Linked DNA regions of Notamacropus eugenii. The protein of the gene in region 2 interacts with the protein of the main gene of each other region in a pairwise test. Links are inferred from orthologs where the notes say so. Each region holds a gene or a part of one and is shown on either strand. Other genes may lie near its edges.

Region 1 (6,831 bases), about 64 Mb from region 2:
GGAGAGCTTTCCAACCCCTCCCCCACTCCCAGCAGATACTTCAATAATACCAGGGTAGGGGCAGTGTCAGAGGAGAGAAGGGGGAATATTCTAGAGATGCTGCCAAGGTGAAATCAATAAGCCTTGGTACCATATTGGATATGGGAGGTAGCAGAGAGAGAAAAATCCAGGATGACTCCTAGGTTTTGAGCCTGAAGGACTGCGAGGATAATAGTGCCATCTACAGTAATAGGGAAGATGGGAAGTGAGGATTCAGGGAGAAACTTAATGAGTTCTGTTTTGGACATTTGAGTTTAAGTTATCTCCTGGACATCTAGTTGGAGATATCTGAAAGGCAGTTAGAGATGGAAAGTTGGAGGTCAGCAGAGTTTGGGGAAGGATAGGTAGATCTGAGAATCATTAGCATAAACATGGTAATTAAATCCATGACAGTTGATGAGATTACCAAGCAAAGTAGTATAGAACTGGGTTTCTTAAACTTTTCCACCCTTGAATCCTTTTGGACCAAGAGATTTTTACTCAACCCCAGATTTATATAAAGTATAGAAATCAAACATTTACTGATAATAAATCATAAATTCATTTGAAAACAATTCTTCGGTATACATACAATTTTACCGTTTACTAAAGATGAAAGCAAATTCACAAACTAATGAGATGGATGTGTTTGTTTATTTTTACATAAAGAATTAAATCGCAGAGGAATATTTGATACTGCAGGACATAGAGCATCTTCATTGGTTTTCAGAGTTCCTTGATATTTGATTTTCTAATCGTCAATGCTGAAAGTGATGGCTTCACATAAATACGTAGCAGAAAATGGCAGAAGTATGTTTAGGGCCATTTCAGAAATTGCTGGCAATTCTGTCCTAACCCCATGCCAAAATTCAGAGTTTTTTCAGGGTGGGGGAGACTGGGGCATATTTGAAGGCACTAAAGAATAAGCTAAAGCTGAAGATAAGTGAGGAATTGGGGATGACCAGGGGCAGTCTGTTGGAGAAGATGGAATGGATGGGATCACTTCAGCCTGTAGAGGGAGAAAGGCTACCTCTTCATGTGAGACAGGGTTGAAGGAGAAGAGAGGGGCAGAAAGCACCTGAGTGATAGAAGATGGGGAAGAGGGGAGAAGAGGAAATTCACTGCAAAAGGCCTAATTTTTTTCTGTAAAAATATGAGATAAGGCTTTCAGCTGAGAACATGGGAGAAGAGGGAGCCATGGGAGGTTGGAGGAGGGATGAGAAGGTTTGGAAGAGCTGCTGTGTAGAGTGGAATAGTGAGCACATAAGGGAAGTATAACAGCATTGCCTTGCAGCAGTGAGGGTCAAATAGAGGTTGTGGAACATAAAGTTGTAGTGGACCCAGTTGGAATGGCTTCATTATCTTCTTCTCCTTCATTCAGCAGCATATGTGTAGGAGTGAAGAAAGTGAATGACTGAGGCTTGGTTGGGCACAATCAGCCAAATGATAAGAGGATCAGTGATTCAAGAGAAAGGGAGAGTATAGAGTTGAATTGGTTCACTAGGGGAGAAGAGAAGAATGGGTCTAGCACAGATAGGGTGATTTCTGAATTTTTGAATGTGGAGGTGGTGCATTTGTGGGTAATGACAAGATCAAAGATACCTTTGCCATGTGGCTGAGATGGGGTGGAGGAGGGGAGCAGGTTAAGAAACTGAGTGGGTAGTTTCTGACTGAGTCAACATGTCTGTTGAAGTGCCTTAGTACAAAAGCGCCTGGAGATCTGACAACAACAGCTGCTGGGCTTTTGATTGGGTGGTGGAAATGAATTGCAAGAACCTTAAAGGATGAGATTTTACTCTATGATTTTACTAGAAGTGGCAATGGGGAACAAGGAATATCCTAACTCCCTCACCTTGACCGATGACCCAAGGACAATGAGAGAAGGGACAAATACTGAAAAGGGGGGTGAGGGAGGCTGTGTCCTCAGAGGAAAATCAGGTTTCAGTAAGAGCTAATAGATGGAAGGAGTGGGAGAGGAGAAGTTTTAAGATGAAATATGTTGTTTATGGTATGGGCATTCCAGAGAGCACAGTGGAAGACCGAGTGGAATTTGGGATGGGAGGGTTGAGGGGGGTGGCAATAATCAGGTGGTGAGGGCTGGAGAATGGATGATGATCTACTGGGACTTGAAAAAGTGTGAGAATACTCATTGATTGGAAGTTACCACTCCCCTTTCCAAAGGAGGCTGAAGATGAGACCAGTCCAAGTGAAGTATGAGATGGGAGGCACCTGGTCGGATGGTCCCACTGGAAGACTATGGTAACAGTCTGTGTGAGAGACAATGAGGGCCTGAACTAATCTCCAGCATCAACTGTAAAACTCTGTTTGGAATTCAGAGTCCTTTACAACCTGGTCCCTTCCAACCTTCCTGGTCTTCTTATACTTACACATGTACTTCACAAGCCAGCAACACCAGCCTTCTTGCTGTTCCTTGCACAGGTTTCCTTCAAGACGTTCAGGTTTCCTTTTCCTTTTTTTTTTTTAAATGAATAAGGCAGTTTTTTAATCGGTCCAGTAGGGTTTATCCTAATATTTCTTGTGGGTAAGCTGCCACCTGTCTGGCAAATCTGTGGAGGTCTCTGCTTCTGAGGGGGTACTTTCTGTCTCCACCCTGGGACTTCTCCACCATCTTGAGGTCCTCCAGGGCTGGCAGGACCTTTTTGGCAATGCCTTTGCTTAAGTGGCTGGGTATGAGTCCATTGTGCCAGTGCCCACCACAGGTCCTGGCCATGGATCCCATGCCTTCCCTGCCTCCCAAGTACAGGTGGTGGATTGTGAAAGCAGTGCCTGTATACCACCTGCAGGGTGCCAACTTCTTACCAACTTGGATAATGTAACTGTATCTGCCCATCGGGGGGCTGCCTCTGCTGATTCCTGTCCTTCGCTGCTGGTGACTCCAGGCATGGGGCAGGCTCCTCGCGGGCTCACGCCTCTGCCTCTGTCCAGCGCCTTCTCTTCGCCAGTCATCTCCTCTCTATAGCACATTTGTACCCAGTGCCTGGGCTGTGGCACATAATGGGCGCTTAATGAAATGGAGAGTAGGGAGAGCCTTGGCACCACCCTGCATGGGGGGAGAGTGAGGAGTGCAGGATGAGATGGGGGGTTGGGCGGGTGGGGTGCCCTTTACAGGGATGAGAACTGGGCTGAAAACCTGAGCAGGTCGAAGAAAGGGCAAGTGGAGACTACAGGAGGCCAGAGGTCAGAGAGAGGTCAGCGCTGCCCCCCCCCCGCCCCATGCCCGGGGCCTCCGTTTCCTCCTGCTCTTTCAGCTCCGGAGCCGGGTACTCCCTCGGGAGCCTCGGGTGCCCCCTCCCCAGGTCCCGGGGCGTCCATGCGAACAGGCTGCGGAGGAGCACTGAGCCAACATCCCCGCCCACAGACCGCTCAGACTCCGTTTCCCAGCGTGCCCCGGGACGCGCAGACATCATAGAAAGCGGGCCCCGCCCACCCCTGCCAGGCTCTGCCCGCTTCTCGAGCCTGGGACGGCGCTTCCCGCAGTGCCCCGGGGCCGAGGCGCCGAACGCGCATGCGCAAGATAACAGTTCCCGAGTTCCCTGGGGCAGACGGGGTCGGCGCGGTGGGACTACACTTCCCGGCGTGCCTGGGGCCCGAGGCGCGCAGAGCGCGGGCGCGGACTACGGCTCCCGGCGGGGCCCGCGGCGGGCGGGGCTCGGTGGCGGCGGCGGCGGCGGCTCCGGCGGCGGCGCCTTCCCGGCGGCCCCCGCGCCGGGGATCGGGGGATCGCGGAGGGTCGGGCGCGGCGGCGGCGGCGGCGGCGGCCGGGGATCCCCGCGCTCGGGCCACGCCGGGCCGGGATGTCGGGCTCGGCGGCGGAGGCGGGCGCGGGGGCGGGCGCGGCCCGGGAGCGGCGGCAGGAGCAGCTGCGGCAGTGGGCGCGGGCGGCGGGGGCCGGGGAGCCGGCGGGCGGCGGGGGCCGGGCCCGGGCCCGCACCGTGCGCTTCGAGCGCGCCGCCGAGTTCCTGGCCGCGTGCGCCGGCGGAGACCTGGAGGAGGCGCGGGCCATGGTGCGCGGGGGGCCCGGCCCGGGGCTGCTGGACAGCACCAACGCGGACGGCATCAGCGCCCTGCACCAGGTGCGCGGCGGGGGGTCCGGGGGGCCCTGACAGCGCGCCCCTTTCCCTCCCGGGGCTCCCTCCGCTCCGGGCCGGACCTTCTGTGGCCGCACCCCCGCGGGCCCGGCCGCCTTGGGGACCCTCCTTTCCCCCTCCCCTCCCCCACGCTCTCCCAGCACCCCGAGACTGCCCCCTCCACTTGTGTGACCCCTCCCAGCTCGCTGATGCCCCCCTCGAAGCAGGGCCCTTCCTGCCAGTGGCCCCACCTTCATCTTCCCTCCAGGACTCCTTATTTGGCAGTGTCTGCACCAGGAGTCCTTAAGCACCTACTGTGTGCCAGCCCCTGGGTGTAGACACCGGGAGCCCAAGGAAGGCTGGCCTGAGCGACCCTCCTCTGATGCCGGCTCTGCCTTGTCAGTACCCAAGCCAGGGCCATGTGGGGGGATCCCTAGGAGGTAGCCCCCCCCAGGGGCAGGAAGACTCCTGAACCCCCTCTTTGATCTTTCCTAGCCTCCACTTCCTCATGGGTCCGATGGGGGGTTGGACTGGCCCCCGGTGCCTGTCTGATGCATCCTGGTCCTCCAGGCTCCTCTGCCCTGTCCTCAGGTGCACCAGCCGTGCCCCCTTGGCTCTGGAGGGGTCTCCTCTGCCCTCCTCGTCCTGTGTCTGTGGCCCCAGGTGCAGCCTGCGGTTTGCCTGCTCCATCTCTACCCCCAGGCCAACCTGTTCCCCTTCATGGCAGCAGTCCTTGGCTATGTCCTCTTCTCCCAACTGCCCCCTGACTTCTGTATTGCTGGTTTTCCTGGGCAGGGCATCTATCCATAATCTGGGTCCGGAGGCACTCCATCGTCTTTCCTCCCATTCCTATACCAGGGTCCTGCAGCCAGACCCTCCTCTGATGGTCTCTAGCCCTTGGGCCCTGGTCCAGCCTCCTGCCCTGTCCTTCCCAGACTCCCCAAGGGGCACCACCTCCACCTTCCAAGCTCCCAGCATCTCCGCAGGCTGTGGGGACACAATTCCCCTCAATCATTTTGAGCAAACAGCCCCCTGTTTTCCTTCTCACCCTGGCCCTGCCCTGCCGCATCCCAGAGCTGAGGCTGTGAAGGCTCAGAGGGAGCTGGGAGGTGGGTTTTTGTCAAAGCCCCTCCCTTTCAAAGGCTTCAGCATCAGAAATCACCTCATTCCCCACCCTCCCTTCCCCTCCACTGGCTCTAGGCCTCAAGTGTCCCCGGGCTGAGAAGCCCTGCAGCCCCAGACACTGAGCTCCTGGCCAGCCTTCCCTGTCTGCCCCTGCTTTGTAGGGGTCTGTGTGGCTTGGGGCCATCCATTGCCCTCTCTGGACACCCCCTTCCTGCTCTGTGATCTCTAAACACTTTCCTAGCACTGGGGCAGTGTAGTTCCTGTCCCAGGTCCCAGTGTCCTCTCCCACCCAGTCTCCCTTCCCTTCCCCTTTCCTGCAGCCCCAGCCAGGAGCACTGGATGCCTTGTTACTGTCTCCCAGTCCATTCTCCAGTGCTCTGGGGGTGGGGTGCTCCCTCAACTCCTCTGAGACCCCAGTATCAGCTGCTTGAGTCTGAGTTAGGGAGCAGGGACTGGAGAGTGGGCCGCCTGGGTCCCCAGGTACTGGTTGGCTGAGCTCACTCCCTGCCCTCTCCTGAGCTCTCAACAGGTCCTTGTAGGGGAAGCCCCCTTGTCACTCCCCTCCCCCCCATGGGTCTCCATGACATCGGGGAGGAAATAAACGGAGCCCAGAGCTCAGCCCGTTCCCAGGGCTGGGGGTGGGCCTGGCCCCCCCCTCCCTGCCCAAGTTTCCATGACTTCATCCTCCTGGCCCTGGGTGCCTTCTCTCCAGGCCGGGAGGGCTGGGTAGGGGAGTGCTTACTTCTCTTCTAGCCTGGGCCTCTGCCCCTTTGGGCACCTGGGTGTTTGGGGCTTTGGGAACTCAGATACCCGGGCCTGGAGGGAAGGGTCTGAGCCAGCAAGGTTGGGAGGCTTGGGCCAGAGATGTTGACAGGCCTTGCTGGAGGGACAGGGAACGATCTCACACCCCACACTATTTTTAACCTCTGTGGTCTCTGAGGAGAAAGGGGCCAGGGCCCCAACATCTGGGGCCTGGAGGAAGCCTCGGTCAGAGGCCTGAGCCTGCGTTCCCCAGGGAAGAGATGCTAGTAGCCAGCCAGGAGGTCAGGGGTCAGAAGCTCCATCCCCTGCCCCCAGCCTCGCTTCCTCTCTTCCTCTGCCAGGCTTGCATTGATGAGAACCTGGAGGTGGTCCGCTTCCTGGTGGAGGAGGGGGCCTCGGTCAACCAAGCTGACAATGAGGGCTGGACCCCCTTGCATGTGGCTGCCTCCTGTGGATACCTGGACATCGCCCAGTAAGACTCTGGGTCCTGGCGGGAGGGAGTAATCCTAGGAAGAAGGCTGCTGGAGGAGCCAACCGGGGGTGCACTGGGGCGAGTCTGTGCCCAGTCTGGGCCTGCCTTGGCTCACCTTGGAGACCTCTTCCGTCTCCCCTGGCCTCTGGGGCTCTGCATTCTGCACCAGGTGTCTCCTTGTCCTCCCAGGCTTGCTCTCACTCTCGGCTGTTTACTGGGGGAAAGGGTACTGGGGAGGGACTCAGGCCCTGGGGATGCTGGTCACTGTGTCCTTCCCTCTCTGGGCCTCTCTCTTCTCCTGTCTCCAACTGGGTGGGACAAGACCCGAGGATCTGAGGCTGGGAGACCCCTGTTTGGAAAAGAGTA
Region 2 (7,055 bases):
GTTATCCATGGATCTCCTACAAAAATATACATCCTTCAATAAAGTGGCTCTACAGCATCCCAATCAGTCACCTCACCTCAGGCAGAGCAGTTCCTAGGGTTAAAGGGAAGAGGGGCAATAGGAGACACTGTCTGAGATGGTTATAAGAAACTGTCTAGCCACTCAGATCGAGGTGTCGATGTAAATAGAAGGATTTACGTTCATGCAGTTCTTTTCTCACAACAAACCTGGCAGGTAGCCAAGACAAGTACTACTGTCCTATTTTAAAAAAGAGAAAGCTGAGGTTTAGACAGGTAATATGGCCAAGATCCCATAGCAAGATAGTGGTAAAAGCCTGAACTGAAACACAGATTCTAAACTCCAGTCTTACCACACTTTCATTGTACAAAAGAATGCTAATATCAACAGTCATCTTTGATCCTTTTTCTAGCAAAAATGAATCAGAGATTTCAGAGATAATGGGAATTATTGAGGGTTGGGAGACCAAAAGCCTTCAGACCACATTGGGTCTTTCGGTATACCTATTTAAAAAAACAGGGATGTAACTTTGCAAATAATGAAAATAATGAAACAAATCAAGTGATTCTGATTTAAGGATTTTGTGCAATAACTTTTTTTTAAACCATCACAACAGCAACTGTAATAGAATTACATTAAATTTAACAAAATTGCCTCACTTTAATATGGGCCTCATGCATTGTAAGAGTTGTGCAACTGATCAAGTATTTCACATTACTCTAAAAACATTCCTAGAGTAAGGGATGACAAACATTCAGCTGGATGACCAAATGAAACTGAACACAAAAGTACTAGAACTAAAATTCTTTAGTTAATAACAAGTATAAGGGAAAAAGCATCATTAAATACTGTTCAACTTAAAGAATATCCAGTCAAGGTTTGGCATAGCAGAAGGTCTCAGGGCTGAATAAAACCTACATATTCTTTCCAAAGAGAAGCCTCTAGCCAATCTCAGAATCTACCAACTCCTTGTTCTGTTTGGCCTTTGCACAAAACATCTTCCATGGTATTGGCAAGAAACTTTTGGAGAATCGTAACAATTCACATTTCTATTGCCCTCATTGTTTTCAAAGTTCTTTACATTTGATCCTTCACACAGGTATTACTATCCTCATTTTACAGATGAAACTGAGGTTCATACTTGCTAAAAGATCTGTGTGTGGTTACACAGCTGTCAACTGCTGGAGCAGGCACTCAGATCAATCTGACTCCAAGTCTAGCGTCAATCATGGGCTTGGGTGTCATCCTATTTTATGCCTTTTTAAATACTGATAGAAGTTCACTGAGCAAAGTTATCTTTGTGGCTTCATCTACCTACCAATCACGGACTACGGCATACCTATGGCAGCTTTCTTGTTGGAAACTCCCTAATAAAAACCACGACTACTTGAAAGAGGTTGATCTAATTATTCACATAGGGGAAAAAAACCTAAGTGTATAAAGAATGCACATCATTTCATGTAATAACATGAAGTTGGATGGATAACACGTCTACCTTGAGCTCAAAATTAACTAGAAAACTGGGTCATATTGCATTTGGGAAACTATGTAGCATTTTCAACTACCCTAAGCTGCTTACTTATTGTCAAAGCCCATCTTTTTAATACTAATATTCTCCCAATGGTATTATGTAGTTGAGAATCAAACATCATAATTTCTGAAAAACCTAAACTGTGAGTGAGCCAATGGAAAGATGCACAGTGAGGATAGAGTATAGACAGTTGTGAAAATCATAGGAGATAATATATGTAATGTACTTTGCAAACTTTATATGATTATGATGTTGTAAAATATAGAAAAAGAACATATTTGAAAAGAAAAAGAGGTAAGATTAGGTATGTAATTAGAGGGATACTGGATGGGTAGTCTAAGTGCTACATTAGTATTCAAAAAACATTAAAAGAACTAGAAAAAAAGACTTCAGGATAATGATTAGAGCCTTTATCCAGGGTGTGTGGAAGGATATGGGCAAGAATTACAGAAGATGCAATGACGTGCTATGCGCTACACTTCTCAAAGGAGTCTCTATACTAATGAGTAACTGCAAATGAAACACTGAAGTAAATGTGAATCAACGCAATATTTTTGTTTCTGTAATCGTACTGTGGGGAAATCATTTTTACCTCATTTACATAATTACCACTGTCTCATAGTTAGATAGATGGATGTTCCTCGGAATGATTTTTAGCCTTCTCATTTTCCAGAACTGAAACAAAGTCTCAGGGATAAGTGATCTAAGTCATAGAACAAGTTAGTGGCAATGCCAAGAAAACAAAGACCTTTTGAGCCCCAGTCCAGGTCTCTCCCCTTTCTCAAACTTCAAAGAACCTTCTGTACTGCTTCTTATACGCTTAGATCAACTGACAAACATTTATTAAGCACCTACTGTATGCCAGGGACTACACTAAGGTGGAGGATACAAAGAACGAAAAAACCCAGAAAAGCCCCCATTTTCGAGCTTAATTTTATAATACTGCATCTTTGTTTCATATCTTCTGCCATACATGGAGCCCTCTGAGGGCTCAGAACACATCTTGCTGAGTTTTCTCAGTGACTTCAAAAAAGTTCCTCGAAAGGATTACACTTCCACACGGCAGCCAAAGGGATTTTCCTTAAGGAAAGGTCTGACCACATCACTCCCCCATTCAAACTCCAACACCTCTCGGATCGACACTTATCCAATCTGGTCACTTTTGGTGTCCCAAAAGTCTTAATACACATCGCAAGCTTTAAAACGAGACATTAATAAAGCTTTTAAAGTGCACTAAGACTTTTGGGACACAGGATAAGCTCTTGTTTGGAAGTTAAAGTCTTTCACAATCTGATCCAACAGACCTTTCCTGCCTAATTATATGTCACCCCACTCCCCATACTCTACTACAATCCCGACGAACTGACCTTCCCCCATCTCCCATTTTCACGACTTGGCATTAAACAATTCCCCCTGTCTGAAATGCGACCCTTCCCTCCTCATCTCCCCCAGTTAAGAATTCCTTGTGTCCTTCAAAAATGAGTTAAAAATGTCTTTTCTGCTTCTTCGACCCCTCCTTCCCCACCACATTACCTGGTACTGATTTTACATAGAGCAGGAAGTTGGAGCATGGGGACCTAAGGGTCCTGGGGAAGGGCTCCGATCAGGTTCCCGAGATTACTAATATGATATTTGCATACCGCTGTCGCCCTCTCCCCCGAAAGAAAGCCAGCTCCGGGCGGGCAGGGGCAGTTTCTGCTTTGGTCCCAGTATCCGCAGCAGTGTGGGAAGATGCTTTGAAAGACCCGTCTCGCCCTCCGAGCAGGCGCAGGTAAATAACTGGGGGGGTAGCGGATTCGGGGCTCACCCCTCCCCCGCCGACGCGTTCCGCGGTTACCAGGGCAACGCGAGCGCAGGCGCCCCTCCCCCTTCCGCCTCGGCCTCGCTCACCCCCTCCCCTTCTCCGCGGGGGCACCTAGTCGACTCCTTTGGTCTCCCTCCTCCGGGCCCCGGGGCCTGTAGAGTTACCTTCACGGTCGAAGTCTTTGAGGAAAGAGGCGAGCTTTCTGCCCCGCACCGCGTTCTTCTTGGTCGTCCGGCTCGAGGCCTTCTTCGACGGGGCCATGGTGCCGAGGCGGAGAAGAGGCCGCGCGACCCGGCAGACCGGAGCGGCGGCGGCGGCGCGAGAGGCGGTCGGGCACCCGGAGAGGTCAGCCCCAGCAGATAGTGCTCCCGCGCCCGAGGAAAAGCAGACTGTTCCGGTCCGACCCCTTACTGCCGAGAAGAACCAGGTCCCGAAGAAGTCCGCAGTGAGCAAATCGGGCCCACCCACCGGTCTCACGGAAGTTAAATGGAGGCGCTGTCTCGGTCTGCGGATTCAAACTCAACCGCCCCTTGACAGCCAATAAGAAGTCCCGCTCTAGAGCGGGCGCGAGGGGTTATCGGGAGAGCCAATCATCAGGCGCTTCCGCAATCGGACCAGCCAATCCTTGGGCAAGACTACAATACCCAGGAGGTTTGGTGGCAGGGGTCACGTGTTTTCTGTGGGTGTGGAAACTAAGCTAGTTGCTTTAGCTCCTTTTTATCCGTTGTAGCCTCTCTCGGGCATGCGCATTGGGGAGCAGGAAGCTCGGAGGACATGGTGAGTGGCGCGTTGGTTGTGCCCCCAGACTCCCGGGGTGTCGGAAATGGCGGCGAGGATCTGGAGGGTGGGTTGGGGATTGCTGAGAGGGCGAGGGAGACTTCCTACCTTCTTACCTGGGTAGGGCCTCAGGGACCTCAGAGATCGTCCCCCTCCGACCCCAGTGTTTGACGGATGGGGAAACTGAGGCCCAGAGACCAGGAGGCCCCGCGACTCGTTGGCAGAGCCAGGCCTCCTCAGCGGGGACCTGACCGAAGTCCGTCCTTGGTCCCTTCCCCCCTCTGGGCCTCAGTTTCCTCAGCTGTAAAAGAAAATTAACAGGAGTTGTCTTTATGTACACGATTGTGAGGTTCAAGTGATGTTCGTATATACTGGTGTCGTCCAGCCGGGATCTCCCAGGGCGGAGAGCCCTTCCACCAACCCGAGCCTGCCGCAGTTCTGTATTTATTTTGATTTACTGTCTTAGCTGTTTAGGTCGCAGAGAGTTTGAAGTGACTTGACGGTGGTCACGTGGCCAGTCAGGTGTCAGAGGTAGGGCCTGAGCCCTAGCCTGCAGGAGGCTTCTCCAAACGCTATCTAAGTGTCAGTAGTATGTTAACATTGACTCAGGCTCTTAGGCCACTTGGCTTCCATCCAGGCTGCCTGACGGCTAACCTCCTCCATCTCAAGAGCAGCTGAATTTTCATTGTAACCCTCCCGTTAGGGATTCTGTCAGCATAGCAAGGACACAGAAACACTTTGGGGGATGTTTTCCATTCCCTTAGCTTCCCTACCTAGAAAATTTGGGGAAAAGTACTCCCAGTATGCTGAGAATAAGTTTCTCCCATGCAGATACACACAGTTCAAAATGTTATAGGCAAAAGTTTTATTAAAAGAGGAAAACAAAATAGTTACACTATAGCTGAGTACCCGTTAGTCCCAGAAATACATGTAAATCGTTAGTCACAGCCCCAAATATGAGAATTCTTATGTAGAGACTTCCTGCCAAATCCTGTCAAGATGTGGTAATGACATCTCCCTCCCCCCCCTTCAAATTCCTGCTCTTTGTGGATCAAATGAAATATTTGTAAAGTGTTTAACAAAGTGCTTATTAAATGCTTATTCCCTTCCCTTCATAATAGAATTTCCTAGTCTCGGAGACCTGCAAAGGTGAGTCCCTAGAGTTCTCCATTCTTTCAGTGTTATCTTCCATATGTGACCTTAGAGTGAAACCACAGGAGATCTTAGATTTAGAGCTGGAAAGGACTTTAAAGGCTAAGGAGACAAAGGCCTTCATTTCACAGGTGAAAAAAGCAAGATAGTGACCTTCCCACTTACTAACTACAGGTCCTCGGTATCTGAGGCCGAATTCTTTTCTCCAAGTCAAGCATTTTGTCCCTTATGCCCAGTAGTTGCACCCCAGGAGAATTTTTTTGTCTCTGATCTGTGCTGAAGGGCTTTTTGTAGCACCTAGGAACTGTGGTTAGAAGCTTAAAGTCTTGGCCCATGGACACCTGAGGGCAATTAGGGCTGCCTGTTGACCCTAGCTTTAGTGGCTAGACCTCTGCCTTGTAAAAGGCAGTGTGGTATAGTGGCTAGAGTTCTGGATTTGGAGTCAGGAAGATCTGGGTTCAAGTCTAGATTCTTACACTTATTAGCTGTGTGATCTATAAGCAAATCACCTTTTTTAGCCTCAGTTTACTCCTTTGTAAAATGAATTTAATAGCACCTGTAGTAGCTCCCTCACAGGCTTATATGAGGGTCAAGTGCATAATGTTTGTTAAAAGCTTGGCAGACTTTAAGGTGTTAAAAATATCAGGTATTATTTCAGAGGATGTAGCAGAGGCATAAGTTTAGGCCTTACTTGAGGAAGTGTTTTTCTCAAGTCCAAGTAGGCCTAGTGGTTTTCTGTATTTCCTCATCATTCTTATCTGGGCCCAGACTACCTCCATATTAGACCCCCTTTGGTGATAGGCATTTGGAGATGAGATCTCGAAGATCATCTAGTCTAACACAGAGCTGAGTAAAAATCCTCTGTACAGTATCCCCCCTAAAGCAGGAATCCAGCCTTTGCTTGAAAACCCTTTAGTAAGGAGGAGCTGTGACCATCCATTCCACTTTGGGATAACTCTTACTGTTAGGAAAGTTTTTCTTTACATGTCACTGAAATGATTCCCTGTGGTTCTGTCTCTTCTCCCTCCCCCCTTCTCCCATCCCCATCCCTATCTCCTCCATGCCTCAAACTCTGCCATTTTTGGCCAAGCAGAAGCAGAAAGCTTCTAATCTCTCTTCCAAATGTTAGAACACTTCCTTTTTTTGAAGACACCTGTTGTGCTTTCCCCCAAGTCTTATTCTTCAGGCTAAACATCTTAGTTCCTTTAACCAATTCTCATGTAGCATTAACTTGAAATTCTCCACTCTGGTTGCCCGTCTCTAATGCTTTCCAGAATTTGTTGGTGCCCTTCTTTCTACAGTGTGACACCTGGAACCAGACATATAATATTCCAGATATGATGTGATCAGGGCAGAATACAATGGACCTTTTCTCTTAAGGCGTTGGGTGTCTTAATGCAGCTTAAGTTTAGCTTTTTTAGTTACTACATAAGCATTTTTCACCCTTGATGCCAAGTGAACCTGCAACCAAGTACAATTCTCAGATCTTTTTTCACAAAGCTATTATGAATTTGATTTTTCTTAAACCAAAGAATAACACTTTTTATGTGTCATTATTAAATTCCATCATATGGAGCTCAGCCCAGTTGTTCTTTCCTGTCCCTTATAGATCCAAATTCCAATTCTCTCATATAGTGGTTTAGCAGTCCTTTCCAGCCTTTTTTTTTTTTTACCTTTAAGGTTTATAGGCATTTATGTCTATATGCCTAACTACAGATGATTGGTAACCATGTTAAGCCACATGGGCCCAAGGACAGAAGGCTGTGACCCTAT

Evidence for each region. The genes of interacting proteins can lie anywhere in the genome.
Region 1: the proteins of AIRIM (region 2) and PPP1R12C interact in binary tests that used the Homo sapiens proteins (3 or more experiments, as listed by UniProt). The two-hybrid records come from large-scale screens. The link is inferred for Notamacropus eugenii from reciprocal best matches to the Homo sapiens genes AIRIM and PPP1R12C.

Annotation. Positions count from the first base shown.
Region 1 is NC_092876.1:17,780,865-17,787,695, reverse strand, and holds the start of PPP1R12C (protein phosphatase 1 regulatory subunit 12C), read left to right. Parts: upstream 1-3,818; 5' UTR 3,819-3,833; coding exon 3,834-4,112; intron 4,113-6,334; coding exon 6,335-6,465; intron 6,466-6,831. UniProt on the Homo sapiens protein: Regulates myosin phosphatase activity.
Region 2 is NC_092876.1:81,541,851-81,548,905, forward strand, and holds the start of AIRIM (AFG2-interacting ribosome maturation factor), read left to right. Parts: upstream 1-4,044; 5' UTR 4,045-4,130; intron 4,131-7,055. Other genes in the region: CDCA8 (borealin), read right to left, coding at 3,518-3,614. UniProt on the Homo sapiens protein: Part of the 55LCC heterohexameric ATPase complex which is chromatin-associated and promotes replisome proteostasis to maintain replication fork progression and genome stability.